Linked DNA regions of Oreochromis niloticus. The protein of the gene in region 1 interacts with the protein of each later gene in a pairwise test. Links are inferred from orthologs where the notes say so. Each region holds a gene or a part of one and is shown on either strand. Other genes may lie near its edges.

Region 1 (7,244 bases):
CACATACATACTTTACTCTATGCAGCTACTGACCAATTAACCACTAACAACAACAACAATAAAAAAGCTGTATTCTTTATTGTTGTATGTATTTCGGCGTTTATTATTCAACTCCTTTCCTGGGAGCTGTATTAAGACATAAATTGCTGGGACTGTTAGTGCAAGGTCAGGAAAGGCATGCTGCAATATGACAAGGCACTTTCCAGTTACTATTTACACAAGGTGATTACCTTTAGTTGACTAAATAACTCAATAACAGAGCAGGCTGACCTGACGTGTCGGAGCACTCCAAAGAGTCGACCTGAAGGGCGTCAAACACCTCAAAGTCAGACTTTTTCACATGGATCAAGTTGTTGATAGTTCCCATCTGGCTGGTTACCACCGGCTGCCAAAAAGGAGAGAGAAATCATCACAGAGGAAATGAGGAAGCATGTGTAAAATTAGCAGTTTCCTGCACATCTTTCCCTAAGGCTAAAGAGCTATTTAGCGGCTTTCACCAAATAGAAGGGCTTTTCAAAGCTTTACAGTCCCTCTGAGGTTTCACTGTCCACATTTTGTGAGGATAACACAATATAAGATTGATGAAATTTAAATCCTAAATTTCCACAAAGGAATGTGTCCCTTCCTTTTTGTACTATCAGAGGTCTCTGCATCATCCCAAATGCAGTGTGCATTAATAAGTTAATGGGGGAAAAAAATGAAGCTACTGTACCTCTGATGGATCATGCACCCACTGTCCATCTACAAAAAACTTGTACTGGTGCTCTCCTTCGGGCAGGTCCAGAATTGCCACAAAATCATTATGGCTTAGGAGAGAGGAGGAGAATGTATTAGTGCGATATCAGAAACATTTATTTACAAACTCTCAAGCTACATAATGACCACAGCTTTACTGTGGTCATTATGTTCATTACTAGATAATGAACATGATAACGTACCGTTATCAACTTCCTGTTTACCTTTTATTTAGTGGTATCTTTGTGTTCCAGTTATTAAAAGAACCAGCTATGTAGACCTCCTTCCCACCTCCGGCCCAGCGGATCACAGTGGGGCGAGCCTGAGGACCAGTTTTAACCAGATCATCCAAATCTGGGGTGAATTCTTTCTCTCCTGATGCCTGAAAGTAGTAAACATATGAATCTCAAATATAAGCTGTTTTGACCAAATAATGCTTTCAAATCTGAGGACGACAAATTTGTTTCTATATTATAATCTGTATTTATCTATGCGTACCTTCGATTCAGGTCCATGTGTGTTGAAGGTGTTGGGGTCATCTGTGCTGTCCACCATCTTGCTGCTGGGTTCTTGGTCTTTGGAACCGCTGCCGCTGTCTGTGCGATGGGCCTTGGCGCCATGTCGATCTCCGGCCACTCTGTCACTTGTGTTGCCCATGGTGCTTCACTTTTTTGCAGTGCCACTGGAAATAAAGGACAATCCATTATGTGTTTAAGCATAAAGCAAGATCTTTCAGAAGCAAGAAAAAGACTTGAAGAGACAAACAGACTGTAGGCATCAGATCAGCACTAGACATCTTAATAGTTCGTGGTAATCTCCTGTTTTTTCCCCATTATAAATTTTATACATCTGATAAGGATGAAAGTTTGTTTATGAAGCACGAAGACCCCCCCAGGTTTTCTGGTTCTTCATTTTTAGCTGTTCAACAAACAGCTAAAAAGTGACGGTACTTTCTCTTTTTAAAATTTGACTAAAAATGTAACTAAAACCTTTTAATCTATCATTTTACAGCTTAGTATTGTTATTTTTTAAGTTCATTTTTAATTTTATTCCATGTTAAACATTTTACTGATGGTCAGTATTTCTTTTTTATATTTGTTATGAGCTTTTTTGTGTTATTACAATCAGTCAGTAGAAAAATATATATATATTTTTTTAATCCAGTTTTTAATGTCTTAGAAACTTTTCATTTTATATATATATGTATATATATATATGGAAAAAAGGCTGAATATATATATATATATATATATATATATATATATATATATATATCTATATCTATATACATATATATACATACTATACACACACACACACACACATATGTATATATGTATCTATATCTATCTATCTATCTATATATAAAATTTAAGAGATCTGCATCAATACAAACCTCTAGATGCTACTGACAACACATTAAAAACAGGATATGACAATGAAGATGTCTTGAATACACACCATAGTCGAACTCCATTTATCCAACAAGACAATACATCACAGAAAGAAGCTGAGGCTGACCACAAGCTCTTGTGATATATGTTTAAATACAAACTGAACCTGTTATATGAAACTATTTGTTTAGCATGACAAACACCATCGTAACACGATGAGCAGCAGCCTGACTCAGGCAAAAAAGCTAAACGCCTTTCCAGTAGGGCTAACTGGCTTACCGGTCGGTAGACGGATAAAGCCAGACAGGTGAAACAGGGACTGCCTTCTGGCCGTGTGTCTGGACTTGAATCAAAAACCGCTTAACGTAAATACAATCATGCTTTCAGACATAACGTAGTAAGAAAGTCTCCGTTAGTTAACGCCCACTAGCTAAGCTAGCGCCAAATCAACAAGTTTTAACTACAGACCTTAAAATAACATACACACATACATAGATACACAATTTTGCCATTAGTAATTAATCATGAGTACTCGTACAGCTTGCTGACTGAAACCTACCGTAGTTTCCCCACCAGCTGTTCAGCTGTGTCCACCTCAGGTCACTTCGCAGGAGAATATTTTTAGCCGCTGTTGGGAGTTAAAGTTAGCTAACTGCTAGCTGTCACTGTCTACAAACAAACGACCAAGCTGTTTGCTCTGTTTACCTGCGCCGCAACAAACACTAGTTTTTCACCATTAGGTTTTGACAGACAGGAAAAACTCACCGACACCCTCCACCTATCTGCACACTGACTTCAGTTTGTGTTTTAGCAGAGGGCGGGCCCACCTCTCCACAACAACTGCAGAGAGCTCAGTGCTGCCCCGACTACGGAAACCGGTTAAGACAAAAACTGTTCAAATAAGCGAAAAAAAAAGGCTGAAGGTCGCGGTCACCAGCAAGGAAACATCTGTCACAAAAACAGCCTGGCCACAAAATAAAGAAGGTTAAGAGACACCCGCAAGGAACTAAAGTAAAATAAATAGTATTTTACGACTGACTGCATAGTTAAATAAACATAGTAAGTAATAAGCATGTAATGTGATCCCAGTGAATATACAGCATTGTGCAAATCATCTCTCACCTATTTATATTTCCCTTCCAAGGAGCCAGACTTTATAGTAATTTTTTACAGTGTTCTTCAGCAGCAGTTCCCCAGGTTTTCTGAAGATGTTTCAGTTTAATTTTTTTTGACATGCTTTTTCACTTATTTTCAGTCCAATCTTTTCAAAGGAATGTTTTTTTTTAAATTGTTTTATTATTATTATTACTTTTATTATTATTTATGATGCCTACTATCAAACGTTTAATAATAAATGTGGTTTGTATAGTATGTCTATACCCCCTGAGGACCCAGCTTCCAAAAATCCTGGGGTATTAACATATCCCCAAGTTGTTTACTTGGGGATATGTTGATGGTCAGAGCTGTTTTGTTGGCATTAGGGAAGCCTGCTCACTAGGTTTTAATGTTGTGGCTAATCACTGTATATACAGGTGTTGTCAAAAATGTCACAAATGAGAGATTTTTTTTCTCCAGCAGGCATTTAACTTGTCCATGTGGGCAGTTTCATTTGAGCTTGAAAATATGGATTATGGAGCAGGGGCTTCTCTCAGTCCTTGGTGATGTAAACTCACTTCAATGTGGACATGACTGTGTTCCAGGAGTTTAAGTTCGTGGCAGGATTGAGCCTTGGTGGTTCCTGAACATCCTAACCATTTTCCTCTCATCTGACAGTGACAATTTGGGTCTTCTTCTAAACTTTGGCAAATGGATGACACATCCAAACAACTTGTACAAGGAACCAGATATCTGGACCTGCAATTGTTTAGAAATCTGCAGCTGTTTAGACGTGGTTCCAAGAGACCTTTCCAACTTGTGTAAATCTACAATTCTCCTTCTAAGCTCTTTCCTGAGTTCTTTAAACGTTCCCGTTGTTCAGAGTATTGATCAGAGTATTGATCAATCCAGTGAGTGTTGAAAAACAAATCCTTTTTACCAGTTGTAGTTAATCATGATCACTAACAAGAACTTAACAGGTTTTGACCATGCCAAGTTCAACGTCATTGTAGAACCTTCAGCATCACTTATTAAAGATTTAAGTGAGTACATGTACATCTTCAGGCTTGTATGCATATTTTTAAAGCTGTGTGGATTAGCAAGAATCCAAAATTCAACTGTAAACATGTTTTCCCTTCCCTCCTAATTTTGGAGGATTTAATTTGTTATAGAAAAAAATGCACACAGAAATTTCAATCAAAAATACAAAGCTGATGCAAAAATGTTTTCAGTTTTTGTATTTCCGTTTCATCTCCTTCTTCATAGATGCTAACCGGATGGAAGTTCAATATCCTTACTGACACCAACACAAAGTTTAAGTTCTGTGTGGAAACAAATCCACAGGTTTTGTCTTTATTGACCACTTGGCAAAGATTTCAACACATCAGACCGATTTTCCAACCAGTGATCCTTACATTACTGAGGAGGCAATATCAGCATTCAAGCCTCCCTGGAAGGACCAAGTTTCACCAGCTAATAAATCAAGACTAGTTTCAAGCTCAGAAAATGCCACATAAACTAAACACAGAAGATTGTTATCATGCATGCTACATCTAAACTCCATCCACTTGGCTGTGTGAAAGAGAATGAAACAAATGAATGAATGTTAACTGTAGCAGGAATGTGTTGTGCGTATGTACTAGGTTGAAATGAGGATTGAAACATGACAAACACATGCTTCTTGCAAGTATTTTTCATCGTTGAATCCCATAAATAAGCATAACTGGAAACATATATACAGTAATATGTATAGTTATAAAACACATCTTCTGATGTTATCATCAGATTTACACCCAGATAAGGCACATTTCAATCGTTATCAAACAGAGAGATCAGTGGTTTTCACATTGCACAAGATGTGTGTCTTCATTCACACACTGTTCCAGTGTTAACAAGTATTCGTTTGTCCAAGCCAGCTATTTTTAGTGGACAGCTGCTGATTGGAGAATGGTTTGTTTGGAACCGCTGTCACTTAGGGCAGGTGTTTACAAAATCATGTATACAGTGCATAGACATGTGAAAAGTTCAGCTGACATAGCGTCATCTTTCAAACAAAGGAAACGCACAACGCTATGTCACGTATTTGTTTCATCACAGTTTAAAGGAATATCCGTGGCATAAATGAAACGAGCCATTACACTTAACACGTTTTAGTGTTTTTCCAGAACTGTCTTTTTGTGTGTAAATAACGCAAGTAAATGCAGGAAGAATGGTATGTTTTACAGTAAGAAAAAAAAATTTGACCATGCATACCACAAATTATTAATTAACTACTGGCAGACGGCTCTTAAAACATGCACTGTATGGTTGATCGCCATCTGTCTTTTTGGAGTTATTTCAGGCATTTTCAAGTCTGACATATAAAGTAAACTTTTTCTTTTTTTTTTGCAGTATCATTTGGAGATCCCTAAGCCACTCTTCATATACTCATAAACGACGTAGCTAATGCTGACTGCAGGAATGACTTTCATGAAGTTCGGCAGGATGCCCCGGTAGAGTCCAAAAACACCATCTTTGGCTACAATCTTCTTCATCAGAGAACTCATAGAAGGCTGGTTTGATGGTTCCAGAGATGCTGTAAAGAAATATAAGCTATGTTAGAGAACCAATTAAAAAGCAAAAAATAAACTCACTGGCCACTTTGTTAGGTACATCTGCTCAACTGACTTAATGCAAATATGTAATCAGCCAGTCACATAACAGCAACTCAACGTATTTAGACGTGTAGTCATGGTCAGTTCAAACTGAGAATCGTTTAAGTGACTTTGATCGTGGATGGTTGTTTTTGTCAGACAGGCTGGTCTGAGCATTTCAGAAACTATTGATCTGCTGGAATTTTCCCACACAGTCATCTCTAGGGTTAGAATAGATTTTCAGAGAATAGTCTGAAAAAGCGAAAACATCCAGTGAGTGCCAGTTCTCTTGGTGAAAATGCCTTGTTGATGTTAGATAACATGTAAGCATGGATCCATCCTGTCTTGTATCAAACAGTTCAGGCTGCTGGTAGTGTAATGGTAGAAGAGATACTTTTTTTTAGCACACGTGGGGTCCTTTAGTACCAATTGAGCATTGTTTAGGCACAAAAGCCTACCTTAGTATTGTTGCTAATCATGTCCATCCCTTTATGACCATAGTGTACCATCTTCTGATGGTTAATTCCAACAGGATAAAACCCCATTATCACAAAACTCAGACCATCTCAAACTGAGATTTTGAACATGACAATGAGTTCACTGTTCCTCAAATGGCCTCCACAATCACCAGATCTCAATCTAAGTGGAGAGTCACATCGTGGATGCCAGTATGAACCAAGGATTGTCTCTGAGGAATTTTTCCAGCACCTTGCTGAATCTATGCCAAGAAGAATCCAACCTGATAATAGCAATATGTAACTAATAAAGTGGCCAATGAATGTAGTGGTCCATAACAGCCAACATTTTTGTCTATTAGTCTCTTTACTCATATAACACTGATTTGTCAGTTTGTGAGACCATGACCCTGTCTAAATGTTACATTCAAAAAACAACTTTCATCTCAAAGTGAACAACGTTAAAGAGGAATGCCCTTTTTCAGATGGAGCCCCTTGACATTACGTGGGCTGTAACACAAGTATATATTTACAGAAAACATGGATCACATTTACAGAACCTTTACACCATCACATGCATCCCGCCCACCTTGAAAAATATTATGCTATTATTATGTAACGAAGGGGCTACCTAGTTATGTCATTACTGTTTTCAAATATCAGGCTGTGTTTACCTTGTGCTTGCATCCGAGTGCGCACAAGTGCGAGTGGATAGCTTGCCAGCTGGCCACAGGTACTAGAGATGGTCCCACAGCCCAGCAACACCAGCACTCCAGGGTTGGCTGAGTCAGTGGCGTAATGTGCCAACCAAGTGTTCTTTAGAGTCTGGAGAGTTATGACAAGAGAAGGGAAAATTGAGGTAATGTGCAAAATCAGCATAACACAAAAATTTCTCTCATTTAATTTAATGTAACTCTGCACGATGGATTGGT
Region 2 (7,381 bases), on another chromosome or scaffold:
AACAAACCCAACCCTTACAGCTAACAGGAGCGTTTCTCTTTCATTTCAGTGCAGCAGGCCAACAGTGAAAGTGAAAGTGTGCAGTATGTCCTCAAGTTTTTAAACTACAACCTGCATCCAGCAGTACCACAGTGAACCTGCTAGTTTTCCATCAGGTTACTGGTTCTGTCACTAGTTTGACTTACATTAGATTATGTTAGCTGTTAGCTGAAACCCACCCAGTGAGTGTCACATTCTGACCTGGCGCTTAGAGCCAGCCTCGCCGACGTGGTTCCATCTGTGACAGTTTTTTGTTGCACAGCTCGACGGTGTAAATGAGTCTAATACGTTTTTAGGCTAACGTGATTATGATTAATAAACAGCGTATGCCCTGTTTATGGTCCAACAGCACCGACGTTTGTTTCTCATGAATGAAATCCTGTTATTGTTAATCTGCATGTTCGCATTGAATCATTACACCCGTATCAGTGAGCCGGTTACAGCTCAGAGGCCAGCTTTGTTACTCCGGGTAAAACTTCCAACACACAGCCTCCTGTAACAGCAGTCATTCAGCGGAGTGTGCGTTTAAAGGCAGAAACGATAATCACGGAAACAAACGTAGGTTAACGCGGACCTTACGCAATATGCTACGACCACTACACAAAACGAAAGTAGCATTTAGTGTGTGTCGCCTTCAGGCCGCATTACTGGAAGTGTAACGCTGCGCTGTAGTTCACCCACACCCACTTCCTAATGGCGAACTTCAAAGTCTGATTAAGTTGAAGTGTAGCTAGCTGAGATCTGGGGATAGCAACTTAGCTGATTAGCAAACGTCTTATGCCGTGGAAATTGACACGATCTTGGGCTGCCCACTGCCGGATTGACTCCCTCTGTCACACAACTCAAGTGTTTCCGACGTTCAAACTGTAGATAAGAGACTTGAATGAGGTTTTTGGCAGCCCCGGGCAGGATCCCTGTAGATCCTCCGGCCTGATTTGCGACTGCTTAGTTGCCTAACGTTAATATTTGGTCGGCTAGGTGGTCAATGCTGACCTCTTGTTTCTGTTGAGCCTACAGCTACAGCTGGACACTGACGGTCACTTAGTGCAAATATACTCTGTAACGTGAACACGAGCCAAAGGACGGACGCGTGCACTAACCGTCAATACGTCCTTAAACATTAGAAACGATCAAAAAGAACGGCAACGACAGATTTACCTTGGCCAGCCTCCTGCTCGCCGCCATCTTGAAACTACTGTGTGTTCCCAGAATTCACTGCGCTGGGAATATGGGTCTGTTCCTGCGCTGAGGCTGATCAGGTTGGACATCCGCCTGTTTGTGAACATCCCGACGTGTCCACGACAGGAAGCGATGTGTTTAAATGCGGAATATCTGTAATTATATACGTTACAAACATGTTGGGCTGTGAGCCGGAGCCGCAGGAGGAGACCTGAACTCAGCTGTGTCCGCTTCACACGAGTTTTATTTTTTATTATTAATGCAGGTGTTCGCATGTGGACACCTGAAAACGCACCATGAGTTACACCTGTATGAGTCTGCTTGTTTAACCCTCAGCTCTGCTGTCAGTCTGTTGTAAATGGCTCATTCAACAGTCATGTGGATGGCAGAGAGCAAAAAGGTTTTCCATGTGCTTGCGTAATACTTTCAACAATAAAGTTTTATTTGAGTTCATGTTTCTACTTTAATATCATGTGTAAATTCATGTCCTCCCTGCACTTTCATTCTAAAGCGTGCCTCCACCTGCTCCATATGAACATCTGTGAATCTGTCCATCAGCACTGCAAACAAGTAGGAGCTCAGAGCACGTTTCTGATTTGGCCCCCCACTCTGAGCCCTCTGTCACTCCCACTGCACACATGGATGTGCTGCACCACCCTGCTGTAGAATGACCATCGTCTCTCTCAGTACAGGATGATGTAGCTCTGCAGGTCATCCTTGTACCTGAAAATTGAAAAGCAGTAGTCCACCTTCAGTTTGAATATTCAGACTGCATCGTCGCGCCTTATTTATAAACATATGTAGACTGTGTTATTAGAAATTATTAATTAACTTTAGTCTGATGGCATTTTGCTAGTTACCAGCTGAGCAGCTGATGTACTTTATTATCTGAGTTTGTTAAAGTTTTCTAATCAGATCACAGCTCTGGATCCTGGTGGCATTGAGTCTGTCAATATGCCTGTAAATGGATATAGATGGATTTATGCTGTTTATGTGGTTGTAAATTCTGTTTCACTGTTACACTTTGCTGTGACAGCACTGAGAGAGCAGGACAGAGAGGGTGAGAAAGAGACAGAGCGAAAAACAGGGCAAGATCTGACACGTAGTGAAAAATAATACACACCAGGGAAGCTTCTGTTTCACTGATGATGATTTTATAGAACTGATCAGTGTGTGTGGACCACAAACCTGCTCTTATAGAAAGTATTATAGATTATGTTGATCGTCTGCAGTGCCACAGCGTGTGGAGTGACAATGGTGACCCAAACACAGACGACCAGACGCAAAACTAGATTTTGACAAATGTATGTCATTCATTATGGCCGATAACAAAACATTAACCAAAAAAGAAACTCCTTTCTTTCCCTAAAACTACAGACATGAAACCTGGAACAGTCAGAAATACCTGGACACTTGCATCAACACAGGACTGAGGACGGCAGGAAGAAGAAGGTCTGCAAATGTGCACGTTAGGAGGAAAATCATCAAGGATTTCTTCGTTATTTGGTCAACAGATTGAAATGATGCTGTGATTCTCTTCTTACTGCTCTGCTGTAAGCCTACTGTGGAGAGTTCTGGTGAACACGACCGAGCTTTGGTTTGGTAACTAACGAGTCTTCACTCTGAATCATTCCTAACACTACATTAGGTCATACATGGCTTTTAAAAGTAACATTGTCATGTGTACCCAATGAGGTTTGCAAACATGAAACGTGTAAGCATATTCAGTATGTCTGACATTATGACTGTGGGAGAGTCCTCTTACAAGTAGACATGACCCCGCATGTTAAACAGTAAGGTTGAGAAGTCCACTGCTCCCTCTCAGACATCTCCATACCTCCACAGGTGTGTCACCTGGACCAGCTGCCTTTCCACTCCTCATCCTCTTCATAGCTGCCCTTCCCTCCTCCTTCCTAAGTCACTTCCTGACTCACTCACTGTCCTCCATCTGTGCTCCTCGATCTCTCATTTTCTGCACACTCCCATCACCTGTTAGCACATCTCCATTCCTGTCCCTAATTATCTCCAGCTGCTGCAAATCCTTTTCAGCTCCATCTGTCAGCGTGTAGCCACTCGGCACTGTTCTTTCCCTCCTTCTTCACATACAGCTCACTATAAGGCTTTTCCTTTGCCTGTCTTTCCTGTTCGCCTAGTTTCCCAGTACTCCTGACTGTTTTTTGCACCTCCTGTCCCACTTTTATTTGCCAATCTCTTTGGTAATCTCTTCCTTTTAATATTTTCTGCACTTCCTCATCCCTCCACCAAGTCTCTGCCTCTTTCCTCTGGAGGATACACCCATCACCTTCATGACAGGTTCCTTCAGCCTATAGCTGTACTGTCCCAGTCATGTTTGCTGCCACTCGGAGCCTGTCTCAGCTCTGCCCTGAAATCTGTGCAGCATCTTCATTTCCTACCATTGCATCTGTCTGTGAAGGTTCTCAGTCATCCAGGTCATCGTAGTCTAAGGAGCTTGGAAAGAAAAGCGTCTGGACTTCTTTGAGTTGCTTGAAGACGTTTCACCTCTCAGCTTCTTCACACCTTGGCTCAGGTGATTAGAGGATCATCAGGGGGGTCCTTTGTCCCTCTTTGGGGGGAAACTCCCACTGGGTTTAAATCTGGGACTCTCGGCCATTGACCCTTAGAACTGAAGAAGCTTCTCGGGTGAGAGGTGAAACGTCTTCAAGCAACTTAAAGAAGTCCAGACGCTTTTCTTTCCAAGCTCCTTAGACTACCATTGCATCCTTGCTTCTGCCTTCACTTGATTTCTTGATTTCTAAAGTCGTCCTCCAGCCTACCATCCAATGCTGCTCCAGCTGTCACTCTACGCCCCGCCCTTGAAACACGCCCACAACACAAAATCACGGCCTAAAGATCCGAAACTGATAAAAAAAAAGAAGAAAAATTAAAGTTGTAAAAAAACAACAACACAAAACAGATTCGCACGAAAACAGATAATTTATTCAAAATAATTCATCTGTTTGTTTGTTTTTTGTTTTACTTTTTAAATATCAAAAACAGATGGAAATCACTTTTCCAGATGAATAAAGCTTTGGATCCCAATTTAGCTCCATAGCAATGCGCCACATTTGACACGGCAGCAGTACCCACACAGGCTGTACCCACGGCAGGCTGTACCCAGTCTGTCCCAGGGGCCCACAGTGGGACCCATATGAGCTCTGTGGTACATCCTGCTTCGGTGGCCTTAAAGAGCTCTGTCTCACTCTCTTAATCTATATAAATTAGCGAGGATTTGACACGTGCTGTGGGACCATTTCCTAACACATGTTAAACAACAGCAGTTTTCAGACTCGCGTGGTTGTCGTGACACGGCTTCACTGTGAGTTTCCTTGTAGCTGCTGTAAAGTGAACCGCACTGTAGCTTCACCTGGAAGTGATCACACTGACCGGAACAACAAGATGGCGAGGACTGTGGTGTTTCGGGTAGGCGAAAACAAAACACAACCTGTCACTCGTGTTGACGTTGAAGCTTGTAACGAAGAAAACAGCTGATGTGTGTTTGGGTGAGCGATGGGCGAGGTGGGCGCCCACAGGCAGGGATGAGCGTAGTCACGGGGATCGTGGACGTTTCACTATGTAGCCCTGATGCTAACACAGGCTAGCCAGTCACTGCTAGCTCCCAACAAACAGCTGTTATTATAACTGAATGCCTCTAAAGTCCGCACACGGTCTTAATGCACGTACGTGTTGTATGTGGCAGACATCATGAGTGTGAGGTATGGTGTAATAAACATAATAAATAGTTTCTGTGGGAAACTTAAACCAAACTGCTAATCGAAAAAACTACATGCACCCGATTAGCCAAAAGTTATCGCGAGGCTGTGAGTTAAACACGATGTATACAAACATGTTAAAACATCCGTTTTTTTATTTTATTAGTAACGAGATTACAGAAACTCTGTTTTCATGTCGTGTTAAATATTCCTGACCCAGCGCTCAGCCACCGCGTCTGTATGTGATCATCACACTGTCGTGGGTTCACTCACCGTGGACGTGACACTGAAACAAGATCCCAGATCAGATAAAGGACAAAGGAAAAACTAAGATGGACACTTGGCCGTGCTGTGTTGTTGTGTATCATGTGTGTATGTTGTGTTGTAGAATCAGTTGTGTTTGTTTTCTCCGTCTGTGACTTTCATTCAGAGCGACAAACATTTAAACGTGTCTGGTTTTTAAAAGTTCAAATGGATTCATTAAAAACACAATGAAATACACGATTGAAGTACTTTTGTTTCGCTCTAGTTTTCAGTTCAAACATATAACAAATCCACATTGTAATAATAAACTTTGACATTTGTCATCTTGCAAATTAAATCCTCAAAGTTAAACTTCATCAAATCCGTTTAATTCAGTCAGATAGTTTGAGTTTTGTCAAACACACCAACACTGTATCTGTCATAAATGTTGCCATCAGAGTTAGTCTGTGACTATATGAGGTCAAGTTTGAAATTATTCCTGATGATACAGCAGCTGTGATAAATCACTATAACATGTTGTTGTCACGTAGAGACAAATTCATATGAAGATATTACTGCTTATTACTGCTGTGAAGCCTTCTTATAACCAGAGCAGCTGGCAGCCTGCTCAGTCGAATCCCTTTGAGTTGTCCTTGTTGATAAAGACTCATTCTTTGGAAATCTGCCTGCATTTATAAATTAGACCTTTAACCTTTAACAACCTGTTTGAGTGACACAGTCAGTCTAAGCAGGTGTGTCCACAAAGGTTGCCTCAGGTGAGATGGGCCCGCTCATTTAGTAGTCAAAGTCAGCTTTATTGTCAAAGATCATATGTACAGTTGTACACAGGAATTTGGAATTGCAGTGCTCCCATGGCCCCCAGTGTACACTAAACATACAAAGATAGAAAAGGAAATAAAAACAAAATAAAATAAAATAAAAAATCTTATGTACAACACAATACAATACTACACAATTATTTAAACAGCGGTGTCCCACACAATCATAGTGATTGTGGGCAAGTTCGTGTGCAGTGGGAGTGGGGCAGTCAATGAAAGGGTGATGGTGGTGGGTCAGAGTTTGTGTGTTTGGGGGGGGGGGGGGGGGCTCAGAGGGAAGAGGTGGATGCAGGTCTGGAGATCATGTGTGAGAGCAGGGAGTGAATTCAGCATCCTATTGACCTGTGGCCTGTCTGTATCGATGGAGTTAGTGTTGCCACACAAAATATCACGTGACCTTACTTTAAAAGAAAAAAAAAGGCTGGTAGGGTATTGTTGTCATCCCATCGGGTGGGCGGGACACCAAAGTGTGTGAATGGAAGACCTACAGAATGAAGCGACGTAGCATTTTCATTTTGTACCATAAGTGTATCTACTCAACATCTTGTAATGAGTTCCGACCTCGGTGACCTCGACCTAAAGGTCAGAGTACGTTATCTGGGACTCTTGGGAATGTGATAACTTGAGGACGAGGTGATGTAGGATGTTTTAAAGTTGATACCATAGATTTGAGGGGAGACACTGATGGATTCCAGTAGATTTTGTAAGAATGTGTTTTAAACGGGAGACTAGATGAAGGATGATCAGCATGTTTAACAAACAGAAAAAAGACAATTACTGTGTGGATGTCACCTGCCTCTAGGGATGGGAAACGAGGATTCCTTGGAATCGTTAGTCTGTCTGCCTATAGATCCCAGTTATCAGTTCTTGCACCCTCGCTACGATCAGCTGATTTCAGTTTGTGTGTTGGAGGAGGAACACAGCAGCACAGTCTGCAGCGCGGACATGACTTTTATTTTTGTTGCACAAAAGGATGAGAGCATAAAGTGGAGACTGCTCCAGGACAGAATCACACTGTTAACACAACTTCAGCTCTTTGCAAACAACTGATGAGCAGTCAGGCTGCAGGTTTCTACCTGATCATGTTTCTGCAGTAGAATCACTTTGAAGTGTCTTTGTGCTGGTTTCCTCTTTGACTTGTGCTCATACATAAACACTCAGAGAAAGATCACGTGTGTCCTCATCAGGATAGGACCTGTGTTGGTGTGTGGGGCTGTAGCCTCAGCTTATATTGTTAAACTGTGATTATGAGACAGTGTTCAGATCATTTTACAGAGTAACATGAAAGTAATGTTATGAGTAGTATATATGAGATTTGTTATATCCTGATCAGCTCCCGTCCCTCTGCTG
Region 3 (7,703 bases), on another chromosome or scaffold:
AGAGGAAAAGCACAGTAACCTGTCTCTCACTGCACCTGCTCCCAAAAGTTTGACGGAAACTGTTTTGGATAACAGAGGAGATCCCCTCCATGCTGAAGCGCTGACAAGGAAGGAAGAAAAGCAAAGGAAAAAAAGATTACCAGAGAGAGCAGAAATACAGTAAATACAGCAGACACTAGAAAAGAAAGACCACTCTTTCACTCTACCAACACCTCGGGACTGGTGATAAGTCCTTAAAACCTGGCTGTAAAGTTAAAGTACTCACCGATCCAAGTGTTTTCTCTGGAAGACCTTGCGATTTCCCAGCTCCACCTTTAAGCTTCTTCTTCTTCTTGAGCGCCTCGCGGTACTCCTTCTGCCGGTTCTGCACGTCGATGAGGGCTGAGATGAAACTGTTCTTCACCTCTTTCTCAAAGTCCAGCTCATCCCTAAGAGCCAGCTGCTGAACCAGCTCCTCTGAAAACCTCCTGATCTTCATTTCAGTCTCCTCCAGACACTCATTCAGCTCTGCAATGCTCAGGGCCTCCATCCCTGGACCACCAAAGCATATTCCCTTAAATTACTTACATAAAATGCAACAAAATAACCCATCATAACACACTGTTCTGATCAGCAGACACTCACTCTCCTCGTAGTCAGAGCAGCTGTTGGGCTGCTGGACGTCCACAGAGAGCATTGACAGGTCCGACTGTGATGGATTATGTTCTGCCTCCATGTCAGGAGAGTCCTGCATCATTTCCTCTATCTCCTCGATAACCTGCATAAAAGAGCCAGCTCTTAAAATAACCCATCGAGCACGAGTTATTAAACATCTGTGGAAAAGATTTCAGCCATGTTAAGCTCTGCCTATACAGGCTTGACCCAGTGTGGCTGCTTCTGGGGTGAACTATGCTGGATTCTGACAGGGTGTGTAACGTACCTGCTCTGCTGTGAAAAGGGGCTCCTCTGCGATGCAGGAGACAATGATGGAGTGCATGTCTAGCTGATCCCTGAGCTCCTCATCGTCTGACAGCTCCAACACAACATCTGCCTTTCTCTAACCAGGAACGGAGCAGGAGGAGGGAATTTAATCAAAGCACTAAACCCTGGCACAATGAATATTTGAGATTTGCGAGATGACCGGAGGAGGGATTTGGCATTGGAGGGAGGGGAGCCGGGTGGTGTGATGAAGGGAAAAATGAGACAGAGATAGGATGGGATGGGCCAGAAGAGGTGGAATCACTCACGGGTTTCTCCTCCAGGTTGATTGCGGGAACGTGGAGGGCGTGCGTTCGAGAACGTTTCCAGTCCACGGGCATCACATGTCCGTAGTTAGCCGTCAAAGTGTTCCAGATTCTGAGGGGACACGAGACTTTCATTACAAACCACATACTCTGCGGATTTCATTTGCAGCTGCCTGAACATGTTGCCAATGGGGTCTAAGCCTGGATCTGATGACTGTAAACATCTTAGGATCTGTGTTACAAACTAAGTATGTCAAGGTTGAAATCAATCAAAATAAACATATGAACTGCAAAAAGAATGAGGGTAATTATAATTTGAGAATAAAACTACATCTTCCTGAGGTACATATTAGGATCTGCTTCATCTTTTCTTTGCATTTTTAAAGATTATTTTCTCATTTTTAATCATTACCAACAATAGCAACAGTTCTCCTGTTTGCAGCACTTGAGATAATCACAGCATTCCTGGAATTCCCCTTTAGCGATATTTTTTTTTTTACTAAAAACAAACCTATGTTAGCAGCAAGGACGTTGGTACTGACTGCAGGCACCACAGAAATACTTTTTTAATGCCGCATCTAAAAACATAACAATCAGATTAAGCAGGTCTGATGCCAAGGTTAAAAGTATAATCCCCTACACAGCTTATCAGGTTGAAAATACCACAGATGATGACGTTTAAAAAGTGCCACTTACACCCAGAGCTGCAGCATCATGCCTCCTGATGGAGCACTTAAGTAGAGTTTCATGTTTCCTATTTAGGATTTATTGAGGATTTTTCCACCCCCTGACCTCCCATTTCTTTTCAGTTTAACACTTTAAGGCTCAGTTTCCCAGACATGGATTAAGTCTAGTGTGAAACTGAAAACGTTGATTTTTTTTTTCCCCTTTCAGTTTATGAATAGGTTGGGAAACTGGCTGTAAATGTTTTTGGAATGAACACTGGGGGGTTTAAAACAATCCCCAACTCCTAAGTGTGGTAAAAAGGAAAATGCCCAAGGTGACTTTTTAAATAACCAGCAGCCTACCCTAATATGAAATTATTATTATTAATGCATACCTGATAAATTACTTTAACCAACTTTAAATATAATATAGCAGTTATTTTGAAACAAATATATCTCTTGCAAAAAGCTGCAATGTTAAAAATATCACAAAAATGTTGATTTTAGAAATGAGTTAAAAATAAAACTGAGTATAGGCCAATATCGATCTTTAATATAGGGCACATAAGATTAATCTGAATTAAAGATTACTCCGTTTATCTTGACAACAGATGATATGACGATGCCATTACTTCCTATTTTAAATGTTCCCAACATGTCTTTCCGTGTTTTTTAAACTGTATTGGAGCCTCCACATGCGCACTGGATGGGAAACACGCAGCCTGCCGTAGACAGGCCGTGGACTCACTCGTCTTTCTCCAGCAGCGTGTCCTCGGCGATCACGGCCACGGGAGCGATGCTCTCCGTCTTGGCGTCAAAATTTTGGAAGCACGTGGTTAACTTCTCATCGAAATCGTTCACCAGATCCTCCATAGACCGGAACCCCGCGTTCTCTCTAGGGGAGAAGCTGCTGTCGTGCAGAACATCATCATCATCATCACCGCCAAACAGGAGCGACTGGGGCGCCGCTTCGCTCACGGCGGCGGCGGTGACACGGCCTTTCTGCGGCAGCAGCCCTTCCTCTGACACTATGCTCGGATCACCCAGGTTCGGCCAGTCGTCGTCGAAATGTGCTATAGGTGCAGCCATAGCCCGGACCGGCCTAGTCGCCCCGGGTGGATGATAGATGTGTTGTTGTTGTGGGACTGGCAGGCCTCCGCATCCTCCCTGTCTGCCCGCTCACTGCCCACAGCGAGCCTGCGCCGGGCCGACTAGCGGCGAGACGCGGAATATAAACAGGTCACGGTGACGTGGGGTCTGAACAACAACGTGATTGTTAAAAGCAATAAAAACGCATCATGATCATTTATCACTACTGACCCTATACAATGGCGAGTTTATACCCTTTTTGAGGTGGTGGTGGTGGTGTGTGTGTGTGTGTGTGCGTATTCAAGCTCCCCTGAAAAATGAGACTGTCTTCAAAAAGAAGATGAAGAGGTAATTTCGTGACACAGTTCAGTATTGAAGATTCAAAACACACATAAGTGCAAACTGTTCAGGGTCGTTGTTGTTACGTAAAGTGTGAAGATTATGTGTATTTACTCTGAATAGCACCAAAAACGTTAGCTAATGAAGTATAAATACCTTGTAACTGTACTTAAGTACAATTTTCAGGTGTCTGTACTTTGCTAGAGTAATTTTTTCTGACTACCTTTTACTTTTATTACATTTTTAAAAATGTTCTACTCCTTACATTTTTCGTTTAACGAAAAGTAAGTTGGGTATTATACAGTTGATATCCTGTTAGATTCTGCACAATAACACAATAACAGAAGGACTATGAATTAAAAAACTGTCATATAAAAGAAACTCTATTACGAGTTTCTATTTAATCCAGATGTATGGAGCGCCAGTGTGACGTTTTTAATTGCTTAATATACCATGGACAGCATTTATGTGGTTAAGAGACTGAAACAATGGTGTAAACAATACTGAAACAAACTTACTTCGGAGGATTCTGGTCAACATGATTAAGCCTTTGTCTCAGGTTTCATAATTAAAGTGTAAACTGGTGTATTAACCTGAAAACTGTGGTTATTAATTCTGAATTATTCTTAGACACTGAATTATTCTTAGGTTATACAAGTAATTAGATTGCTTATGAAGGTACTATTTTATTGTGTATCCAGTTGAATATGTGCTTTAAATATGACTAATAATGTGCATTAAAGGCACAGATGATCACTAAACCACTAATTATTTTCCACAGTAATTTGTTTGCACAACAAAACCTTTTATTTTGGAGATCTGTGATGTAAATGTGCCTGTCTCTAAAGGGCTTTGGACCAACTTCTGTACTATAGGTTATAAATAAAATAAATGTGGCAGTCAACAGAAAAAGTGTTTTTATTTTTTCTTTTCCCTCCACCCCAAAATTGAGTGGGCTCCATACTGAACTTAGAGGATAGGGCAAAAAAGTATCAATCTAATGCGCTAGTGTCGATCTGATACCAATACAAGCTTTGGTATCGATATTTTGATCAATCTGCCCACCAGGTAGTTATGGCAAAGATTAGTTGATGCCGTCATAATTTCTGCGTATCCATGGTTAACGGCATCTAAACAGTAAAGGCAAAGTTAGGAAACACCACTCATCAATGTTCGTTTATCTTAAATGAAAAAAAAAAAGGCTTTTTTGTTTTGTTTTTCTGTCTCATTAGTTTCCCAACATGACATCACCAGTGCTTACATTTCATAATGCATCTTATAATGATGAATAAAACATTAAATATTTATGACTTCTCACATAAAACCCCCCCCCAAAAAACTAATCACTTAGTTTGGAAATGAAATGATCATTTCTTTATTTGTATTTCATTTTTAGAACGTTTATAATGTAAACGTCTACATTTTATAATTTTTTTCTTATGAAACAGAGGTAGTAGAATTTTAAAGTAAGGACAGAAAGAGCGACCTCCTCTGGGTGAAACAGACACTTCTGCAGATTTCACTTAGTACGTTACATTGTTGCTACTGGAAACGGACTCCACACAAACTGAGAAAACACCGGAAATCCCTCTGAACCTCTGTTATAGTTCATTCTCTGAACAGAAAGAAGTCCAAAGAAGAAATAAGTGTGGGATATTCAGGCTTTGGATTTAAAATGAGCTCTCCTTTGTCGATGCTAAAGAAAACCAAACGCACTCCTCTGCAGGGCGCTCACAAAGAGCAAGGGTAGGTGATTAACTCCACACAGGTAGAAACTGGACTGTAGTTTTATTGTGAAAAATAAACGTATCAATCATGTCGCCACACTTAATTTTCTTCGACCTGCAGGAGCAAATCAAAAGTTCCTTTAAGGAGGAATCTGCTGAAAGGTAACGATGCACTCACAGACCACCAGCAGCACTGCAAATTCAGTAAAGTACAAATACAGAATAAATAAATACATCCCAGCTAGAACTAGAACTACTTTTCTTTTAAACCCCTTAAATTAAAGCTGAAAGTCTACACTTTAGTCACACCGTGATTAAAAGTGTGTGGAGATCTAACAGTATTCATGTGTCCACAACATAAATAACTTAAACTGTGATGAGCAAAATGCAGCACATCCTCACATTTGACGAGTTCCAAATAATAATAATTGTATCTTATTGGAGAAACTGATCACAAGTTTCTCAGGTAACTTTTTCAGTTGAAAAAATAACAAAACAACTTTTATAACCATGATAGTTTTTGTTTTTAGAATTTGAGGCTGAATTGGCCGATGAGTCTTCTGATTACTCTCACACTCCACCCAACGAAGCCTCCACCTCAAATACGGGAGCTCCATTAAAGAAAGGTAGGCATTAACACAATGCTTCCCATTCCAGTGTCGAATATATCTTTTTTTATTTATCACATACAAAATGATTATACGTTTTATTTTTCTAATACTTAACTGCTGGTTTTCAGGGTGTCCTCCGACCAACTTTGACCTCATGTCTGCCATGGTGCAGCGAGTGACCCTCCTGGAGAAAACAGTGAGGAGCCAGGCAAAGGAGATAGAGCGCAAAGTGAGCATGCAACCACTTCAACGAATACCAAAACTGCCAGCCATCTTTAAACATGTTTAAACCTCACTTTATGGTTTCGTCATTCCTCCCAAGGATAAACAGATTTCAGATTTAGAGGAGAAGCTGAGGGCTCAGGAGAAGTCAGGTAATTATCTACAGCAGGCACAGACTTGAGTTCGATTTATGTTTGGTCGATCAAAGCGATTTCATGATTGTGTGGATTTAGGAAGCATGCATGACCCGAGGAGCAGAGATGATCTCGAAAGCCGGTGCCAACAACTGCAAAATCAAGTGCATGAGATGGAGGTGAGTAAGGTGTGTCCATAAAGTATGAGACTGTGATTCTATCAGTGTGGAGGTTTCACTGAGCTGCTGTCGTTGTTGCAGGACTTTCTGAACGATTATGGTTTGATCTGGGTGGGAGATACAGACACTGGTGATCCTGCAGAGCGAGGTAGATCCACCAGTCCCGCAGACCTGCAATCCCTTCGTGTCTTTTGTATCTTAAAGCTGTGCTGTTTTTGTTTTGTTTTGTTCTCTTCTTCAGAGACTTCTGGTAGCAGAGGCTTCCACATAAACTTTGATCTCGTGCTGCAGAGGATCAGAGAACTGAACGTCCTCGCAGGGGAAGGAGAGTCTTTTGTGCAAATGACAGCGACAGGAGCACAGCTGGCTAAAAAGGATCCCATTCCACTGAGGCTCTACAGGAATGGCATTGTAATGTTTGATGGTCCTTTCCGCTCATATCAGGAGCACAGCACCCAGGTTAGCTACACTGAAAATAGGAAAATCAAAGTCTATATTAAACTGGAATCTTTCCTTGGTTAAAAGTCATCAACTCTTGGTCCCTGCAGCAGTGCATGCAAGATCTAATGGATGGCTATTTTCCATCTGAGCTTCAAGAAAGATTTCCAGATGGTGTACCTTTTGAGGTGAGTCTCAGTTTCTTCTTCTTATTTTGTTTTTGGGAACAATTGAGTGTCTTCACAGAAATTCTCTTTGCAGCTTCATGACAGGCGTTACGAGGAATTCAACTCTAGGCTCCCATGGGAAACGTTTCCTGGTGAAGGACAGCCTGTTTGTGGGGACAAAGATGAATCAGCAAGCGCGCTGAGCTCTCACTTACCCGGTCTGTCTGCAAACGTCACCCTGATCAAAGCCACGGTGCAGATCCTCAGAGACTTTGCTGTCATTCTCATGTTTTCTTCTGATTCAAAGGCAAGAAGATGACCACGGATCAGTTCCTGAACAAGCTGCCGAAGTTGGTGGTGAAGGCCGGCCGAGTGATTGATATCAGGAACTCGCTGAGGGCAAAGCTGCAGGTGAGTCATAGAGAAGCAGCAATGATCTGTTTGTACAGATATACAGATGAGGACAAAATTACCAGCCACCCTAAGAAGTTTAAAAGCTTTGTCAACATTTTCTTGAGTGCTTTTTTAAACAGAGCAAGGAATTTTTAACATAACATTTGTAAACATTGTATTTTTCTTTACAAAGCATCAATTATTATTACTATTTCAGATTACCAGGATTAGTATTATTAGTTCCCTGAAAAACCATAGCAGGCACTACTGCTGTGCAATGATGTGCTTTAACGTTGTAATGCTCGAAGCTAAGAAGTTAAAACTGAGAGTTAGCTTCCAATAAAAACTCCAATAAAAACTTCAAGGGTTTGAGCTGTCACCCGAGAAAGCATGCTACCAAAGATAAAAGAAATCCGTTTAGACTTACTCGAGTCGTGAATTATAGTCTCAAAGAAGATAATCACCAGATTACCATCCTGCACAGGAATGGACTACAAAGCTGCAGACCAAGAAAAA
Region 4 (7,140 bases), on another chromosome or scaffold:
AAAAGACATTTGTGACATTTATCTTTTACATGAAGTTTGAAGTTTTCATAACACCTACTATGTTTGTATCTGATGTTCTACAATTTATGCTCAAATGTTTGGCTGGGTACGTTTGGGTGTGTGCTGTTAAAATTATTATAATGTTATTAAAGTATTGACCTTAGCAGTATTTGTGTTGTGTGCGCCCCAAAGTTTATTTTTGTTATGTAATCTCAAACGTCCTCTTCCATCAAGTGTATCTTTATATAATAACTATACTGCTATGATAACCACTCTGTTATTAATAGGACAACTTTAAAAGTTCTCTCCTCCAGTACAAACATTTGAAATGTTTAGTTAAGTTTGATCTTTTCTTGTCCTCACACAGCAACTCCATATCCTTAAACCAAGTACAACTCTGGACTGAATAACAAAAGATAGATCTCTACTTAAATGCCTGTGTCCTGAGTAACACTGCAAAGTGGCAGTGACTACAACAGAATATTAGCAACACATTAAAACAATAGAATAGAACTGAATTCAACTTTATTGTCATTGCACATGTCACAAGTACAAGGCAACAAAATGCAGTTTGCATCCATCCAGAACGTGCTTTAGCAGAAAACAGAAAAGCAGTACTGTTGATCATTTTAATAATAAAGTTGTGGAAATGTGGAGATTATCATTGTTGTTTCAAGACAAACTGCCATGTTTTCTATACCCTGTACAAAATCCCTTGTTTAGATGAGTTAGTGAAACAAATTAATCAGCCCTTCTGTGATACAACATACACCCTCTTTATTGGACAAGAGTGAAACCATTGATAACCTTACATCTGTCCATTACCAGTCATTTAATTTTGTACAAACCCACTCTTCCTAGTTTGTGTCTTTTTCTGTCTGACCAGATGCATCTTTCTGCATCATCTTTTCGACTTATCACCTTATAGTTATCAGGAAATGAGAAATCATATCCTTCCTTCTTACTAAAACTGATTCTTAAGTACGATTTCACTAACTCAGAGGGTATAGCAACTGTGGCGGTTTGTTTTGAAGCAACAACTGTAATCGCCACATTTAAAAAAAAAAAAAATTCCTTACAATAGTATTTTGACTTTAATCTCAAAGCAATTGAGAATATATTTTTTCTTAATGTGGTCCTAATACTTATACATACTCCAAGTTAGGATTACACTTTTAATAAGCTACCTTTACACAACAAATAATTGACAAAGTAACTGCCACAAAACTGTCAAATTCAGTCACCCAATAAAGATCTAACACTTGCACACTCCAAACTAATTTACTTTTTCAAGTTGCAGTAGAGTATTTGCAACCTTTGATCCCTGTATCAGTCCACTTGAATACATGAACTAAGTTGTCCTGTTTTGAGCCTGTATGTATAGCCAAATATTGAAAAAAATTCTGTATTATTCACCAGATTTTAGCTGCTGCTTTTCATTTGTTGCATTGCTTTATTTGCCTAAGTTCAGTTTCCCTACTCTTTGTGTCAAAACTGCACAATTGCTTTAGTGATTTGTCCACATTTTGGAAAGAAAATGTTGCAGCAGTAATACAAATGCTAACACCAACACATTTTTAGCGCACTTGTGGAACTTTTTAAAAAAAAATCTATTACTCCAAAAATGCACAGCACCTCAATTAAAATGTGTGAGAGAAGGACCCATCCATTGCAAATACAAGGCTTATATCCTCATAACAGCCACGAATAAACTAACAATCATGTTGTGTGTATGAGAAATTATATCCAGAGTCATAATCTTGCAGCTTTGTCTTCCTGATTCATTTCCTCGTTTTCCAAACATGGCAAAAAAGCATAGATGCATGAGGAAAAATTACAATAATAATCAAAGTACGACATTTTATGTGGGCTCGGCTCTACGTAGCTTACAAAAGCATCGATGGCAGCTTAAGAGTAATAGTTTGTGACATTACTTTAAATAAAAAAACGAATAATAAATGTGTGCTTTGTCCTTAAACTTACACAAAGGAAACTTTGTTACTGGAGACACATACCATTTATATAAGGGGGTTTATCTGAATGGTATGCCCAACATAAAATGAGCGATAATCAGTTTTAGAGTAGCCCAACTAAATTAAGCCCTATGTAAAACGGTCTGAAATTGCAAAAGCTCCTGGCGCTTTTTTTTAAGCGCAACCGTTACCTGTGATAGTGGCTAGCTATAAGGAAACACAGCTGTTTCAGACCATTTTCTTTAGACTTTAGCTGCTTAGCCTAGATTACTACAGTTTGCTACAAATATAAAGAAAAAGCACGGAGCTGGTAAACGTCTACTAGCCCAACTAACGAGCTTTAGATTGGTTAGTTAACTGGGCGGGGGTCTGACGATGCTAAATACAGGCGAATAAACGGAGGAAAACAAACTTGGAGCATCAATTTGTTATGCATTTATGTAATGCGACTAGACATGCGGTGCAAAACTACTGTACTACGGATATTTAATTTATTTTTCACTAGTTAATTAGCGTCACCAAAATCATAACTAGCAGCTAATGTTAGCTGCCGCTACAAAATCGGATTTGAAAGCTTGCATGCTAACTTAAAGGAGACGCTATTTAAGCTAGCGTGGTAGTTAGCATGCTAGTTGGGCATGTAGGCCTTTGAAGCGTAATGCAAGATTCGTTTAATGCTGAAGCAACCGTTAAATTAATTGTGATTTTGATGCAGCTTCTCTTCTCATTCTCGCACACAACACATGTACCGTGTAAGATTGGGTTATATTACCGTGTGAATGGTGAATTCTCGTGTTGTTTGTAGAGTTTCCGATAATGGCGTCGTTCCTCGCGAGAGATGAGACCTTGCCTTCGTGTGCTTCACACACGGAGGTTTCCTCAACGCTCATTCAAGGGAGCTCAGTCTGCAGGAGACCGCTCGTCACCGCTGCAGACGCCAGTCACAGACTGCACGACTGCTTCTTTTCAAGCTGTTTTATCTAAATCTGAAAAAAGCCGACATCCATTAAATTGTACAGTTTATTCGACATCATCATAATACCGCATGATAATAACTGCGCCAAAGCACAGTATCTTAATAAAGCCTCTGTGGCAAGCAGCGAGATTGCATAAACGGATAACATGTTTGTTTAACCCTGTATTTTTTAACCGTCCAGTAAACGTTTCTTACATTCATTGTAATCCAACTCCTCAGGGTTGTTTGTTATCTTGATTTAATCCAAGCCTTTGTTTGCATCCGTAGATACCTTAGAGTATATATTACTGTATTTTAGTATTTTTGTTTCCCAGTGATTGGAGCAAATGGGTTTATTTTCCTCTACATTATTTACCCTCTTATGTAGATGATTTGGCACAAGATATTAAGCAGCCCACTAACTATTGTTCACAATGTAAATGACTCTGATGTTTATTTCTGAGACAGATAATTAGCAAAATGATAATATACAACAACCAAAAAGGAAATTCAACTGAAACATTACAAAATCCAAGGTCAGCTGAAGCGCAAGTGTATTTTTATCAAGCGTTTTACATGTACTTGTTTGGTCTTCAGTGAACATATAGAGGAGTTTATTATAATCAAATAAACACGTTAACAATAGAGGAAGATTAATACATGCAAAATGTTGCAGGATAAGGAAGAATAACTTAATATATTACAAATAATATATTTTATTTTATGTATTAATATCATAGAATATGCCAATATCTAGTATAGAGCATATTGCTTTGCATTAAAATGTAACTCTCTCAAGGAATGAAAACAACAGCTGTGGTGAAGAGGTGATGAGTGCTACAAGTAAAAGCAGCAAATGACCAGCAGGTGGAGCCACTGGCAGGCTCAGTCCATCTTTCAGCTAGGCAGGGATTTGACACACTGTTTTTAGGCATCTTTGTGTTCCACTGGGTAATAAAAGAATAAGAAAATGCAGCAGATAGTATGTTATTACACTCACTAAATTAAGTGTCTATTAACTCTCCACAAGTGGTTGCACTGTTCATTATTAAGAGCTGTATAGGTAGAGCTAGATAGCATTATTTAAAAGGACTCAGGTTCAGTTCGTAGTACTAATTGTAATGCAGAAGGGCTGTGCCTGACTGGAATTCATGTCGGCCTAAAATATATTAAAAATAACATATTCTTATATGCACACCAGTGTGCTACCATGGGAGAATTTCCTGCCATACATCTCCTCTGATATGTCTAAAAAAGACTTTCCTCATTCAACCTGGTAAGTTTAGATTCATATGCCTAGGAAGAGGTGTCAGTTTCCAGTAGTCACGATGAAAAATATTAGATCTTTCATACTGCTGTGTAAGGTTAACCTACTGTCACTCGTCTAATCAGAACTTGGAGTGCAAAAAGCAGAGAGGATATTTTGGTAGCGTATGGGGATGTTTGAGTTGCTTTCTGGTGTTTTCTGTTGAAAACAGTATGCACTATACATGGTTTACTCATTTCCCTTCCTTTTTCTTATTTTATTGTTAAATGTCTACTGTTTGTTTTTTTGGTTTATTTCAGAGTTATTTTATGAATATAATCCCTTGTTTTATTCATTGTTTGGGCCTCCTTGATTTTCCTCTTCATGTCCTAGTCCATTTAGAGCAGGGGTGGGCAATTCCAGGCCCCGAGGGCCGGTGTCCCTGCAGGTTTTAGATCTCACCTTGGGTCAACACACCTGAATCACATGATTAGTTCGTTACCAGGCCTCTGGAGAAGATAATTTAGCCATTTAAATCAGCTGTGTTGGTTCAAGGACAAATGTAAAACCTGCAGGGACACCGGCCCTCGGTGCCCACCCCTGATTTAGAGAATGACAACATTTCAGAGGGTCAGAAAGAGAACAGGAAACAGATTTACTGTATGAGCAAGTACTTCTTTGTGTTGCTGTTGTCTCCAGTGATTACTATTATGAGTGTTGCTGCCAGAATGTTCATTGTTTAGCCTTCATTGACTGCTGCTTTTGACATGGTTAACCACAACATTCTTCTATCAAGATTGGAACATGTTGTTGGTCTCAAAGGTACGGTTTTAACTTGGTTTAAATCCTACCTCTCAGAGAGGTCGTTCTCTGTTGCTATGGGGCAACACTCCTTGGCTTCTGCCCCTATTTATTGTGGTGTGCCTCAAGGGTCCGTGCTCGGTCCTGCTCTTTTCTCTTTGTACATGTTGCCGTTGGGATTAATCTTTAGAAAATACAACATCTCCTTTCACTGTTATGCTGATGATATCCAGATTTATTCACCTTTGAAATCCGATGTGTCTGCTTCTTTGCAACCTCTATTCAACTGTTTGCATGAAGTTAAAATTTGGTTATCACATAATTTTCTTACATTGAATGAGAATAAGACCGAAATCATAGTCTTTGGTAGTCACACTCCGCTAGACCAGTTAGCTGATGCCCTAGGCCCTCTCGCTAGCCATCTCTCGCTCACCGTAAGAAACCTTGGAGTGTTCCTGGATGGCTCTTTTAAACTTGAGAAACAGGTCTCCACTGTGGTAAAAAACAGCTTTTGCCAGTTGCGTCAGATATCTAAAGCAAAGCCCTTCCTTCCTTTAAAGGACCTTGAAAAGCTTATCTACGCATTTATCACATCCAGATTGGACTACTGTAACTCCCTCTACTCGGGCCTCCAACACTCTTCTCTTTACCGGCTTCAGTTAATTCAAAATGCAGCTGCGCGTCTTTTAACAGGTACGAGAATCTATGAACGCATAACTCCAATTTTAGCCAAATTACATTGGCTCCCTGTTAAATATCGCATAGATTTTAAAATTCTTTTGTTTACTTTTAAAATTCGGAATAATTTAGCGCCCAGCTATCTTTCTGATCTACTCCACTTATACAATCCCAACAGAGCACTTAGATCGTCCAATCACAGGTTCCTAGCACAACCTAGGTCTCGAATGAAGTCGAGAGGTGACCGGGCCTTTGCAACTGTGCCACCTAGACTGTGGGATAACCTCCCTGTTCATATTCGTACTGCCGAGTCTATCCAGTCTTTTAAATCACGTCTTAAAACTTATCTTTTTACTTTGGCTTTTGATTCTAACTAGTTGGCTGTTCTACCTTGTTGTGTTGTTACCTATTGTTTGTTGTCCTGTTTTATTGTTTGTTTTAATTGTCTCATGCTTTTACTGACTGTGAAGCACTATGGTCAACACTGTTGTTTTAATATGTGCTATATAAATAAATTTTGATTTGATTTGATTCATTAAATGTGGAGACACTCACCCATCTTTCTTAGAAAAGACAAGTGTCTTCCCAGCTGTGTCATTTTTTCCCTTTATTCTTTTTTGGCCTCTTGTTACTCTTGTTTTCAGAGTAATCCTTGGTGGAGATATCTGTTGGGTGTAGGCATTTCAGAGCCCCAGCTGTTGAGGTTTAACCTTTCAAAATACCTCTAATCCAGCAAGCTCTAGAACAGAGGTTCCCAAAGTGTGGGGCCCGCCCCCTAGGGGGGGCGCAGAGCCATTGCGGGGGGCGGTATGAAAAGAGAAAAAAAAAAAAAAAAGAGTCCTTGGACACTGTGGACAGGTTTTTGACGGGGCTCCGAACGCAAAGCAGGAGATGAAGCATCGCCAAATATGTTTCCAAACCAACTTCCTTCCAAGCCAAAGACTAGAAAATATGGTGAAGCATATCTTCCCTTTGGCTTCACAAGTGCCAAGGTAGGTCTCCCCTGCAAAATTAGTTTCCCTGTGTCGGGAGCACGAGCTGGGCTCTCCAAATCACGGACAAACAGTATCCCACATTCTTGATTTTTAGTTCACAAACACTTCTTGTAATAACTAACTACTCCTGACATTTTGGACATGTTAGCTCTTTATGCAGTAAAGTTACAGTGGGATACAAATAATATCAGGCTGATCCTGCCGTAATTTGTTCCCCCGGTTCAAATCACGGACAAACAATATCCCACAGCTGTTTTTGTTTTTGAACCCATTTTGCACAGAGAGGCATTTTTTGAAAAATTTATTGATAGCAATGTTGAATATTATTACACAGGAAAAAAAACAACTACACGTAAAATAATCACACCGTGAGCCTCGGCCTTTCTAAATGGAGGGACAGTAACTGCGTGTGTATGTAAGCGTGTAAAACCTGAAGATAGTCAGATTAACAGTAACAGTATTTTGTCTCTATCTGCCATTCTGCAATTCATC

The links.
Region 2: the proteins of prkab2 (region 1) and pias2 interact in binary tests that used the Homo sapiens proteins (3 or more experiments, as listed by UniProt). The link is inferred for Oreochromis niloticus from reciprocal best matches to the Homo sapiens genes PRKAB2 and PIAS2.
Region 3: the proteins of prkab2 (region 1) and ubxn11 interact in binary tests that used the Homo sapiens proteins (3 or more experiments, as listed by UniProt). The link is inferred for Oreochromis niloticus from reciprocal best matches to the Homo sapiens genes PRKAB2 and UBXN11.
Region 4: the proteins of prkab2 (region 1) and banp interact in binary tests that used the Homo sapiens proteins (3 or more experiments, as listed by UniProt). The link is inferred for Oreochromis niloticus from reciprocal best matches to the Homo sapiens genes PRKAB2 and BANP.

Annotation. Positions count from the first base shown.
Region 1 is NC_031982.2:13,490,085-13,497,328, forward strand, and holds the start of prkab2 (5'-AMP-activated protein kinase subunit beta-2), read right to left. Parts: upstream 3,014-7,244; 5' UTR 2,895-3,013; exon of another isoform or gene 2,689-2,894; intron 1,418-2,688; 5' UTR 1,393-1,417; coding exon 1,234-1,392; intron 1,118-1,233; coding exon 960-1,117; intron 807-959; coding exon 713-806; intron 386-712; coding exon 271-385; intron 1-270. Other genes in the region: calcium-binding mitochondrial carrier protein SCaMC-1, read right to left, coding at 5,618-5,799, 6,987-7,137. UniProt on the Homo sapiens protein: Non-catalytic subunit of AMP-activated protein kinase (AMPK), an energy sensor protein kinase that plays a key role in regulating cellular energy metabolism.
Region 2 is NC_031977.2:829,202-836,582, forward strand, and holds the start of pias2 (E3 SUMO-protein ligase PIAS2), read left to right. Parts: upstream 1-4,376; 5' UTR 4,377-4,659; intron 4,660-7,381. Other genes in the region: ube2l3b (ubiquitin-conjugating enzyme E2 L3b), read right to left, coding at 1,198-1,224. UniProt on the Homo sapiens protein: Functions as an E3-type small ubiquitin-like modifier (SUMO) ligase, stabilizing the interaction between UBE2I and the substrate, and as a SUMO-tethering factor.
Region 3 is NC_031976.2:7,542,477-7,550,179, reverse strand, and holds the start of ubxn11 (UBX domain-containing protein 11), read left to right. Parts: upstream 1-4,691; 5' UTR 4,692-4,991; coding exon 4,992-5,062; intron 5,063-5,164; coding exon 5,165-5,205; intron 5,206-5,573; coding exon 5,574-5,669; intron 5,670-5,782; coding exon 5,783-5,883; intron 5,884-5,976; coding exon 5,977-6,028; intron 6,029-6,109; coding exon 6,110-6,189; intron 6,190-6,270; coding exon 6,271-6,337; intron 6,338-6,430; coding exon 6,431-6,648; intron 6,649-6,737; coding exon 6,738-6,815; intron 6,816-6,888; coding exon 6,889-7,012; intron 7,013-7,101; coding exon 7,102-7,205; intron 7,206-7,671; coding exon of another isoform or gene 7,672-7,703. Other genes in the region: fez2a (fasciculation and elongation protein zeta-2), read right to left, coding at 20-100, 266-531, 625-757, 920-1,036, 1,227-1,335, 2,637-2,977. UniProt on the Homo sapiens protein: May be involved in the reorganization of actin cytoskeleton mediated by RND1, RND2 and RND3. Promotes RHOA activation mediated by GNA12 and GNA13.
Region 4 is NC_031972.2:56,893,376-56,900,515, reverse strand, and holds the start of banp (protein BANP), read right to left. Parts: upstream 3,015-7,140; 5' UTR 2,746-3,014; intron 1-2,745. UniProt on the Homo sapiens protein: Controls V(D)J recombination during T-cell development by repressing T-cell receptor (TCR) beta enhancer function. Binds to scaffold/matrix attachment region beta (S/MARbeta), an ATC-rich DNA sequence located upstream of the TCR beta enhancer.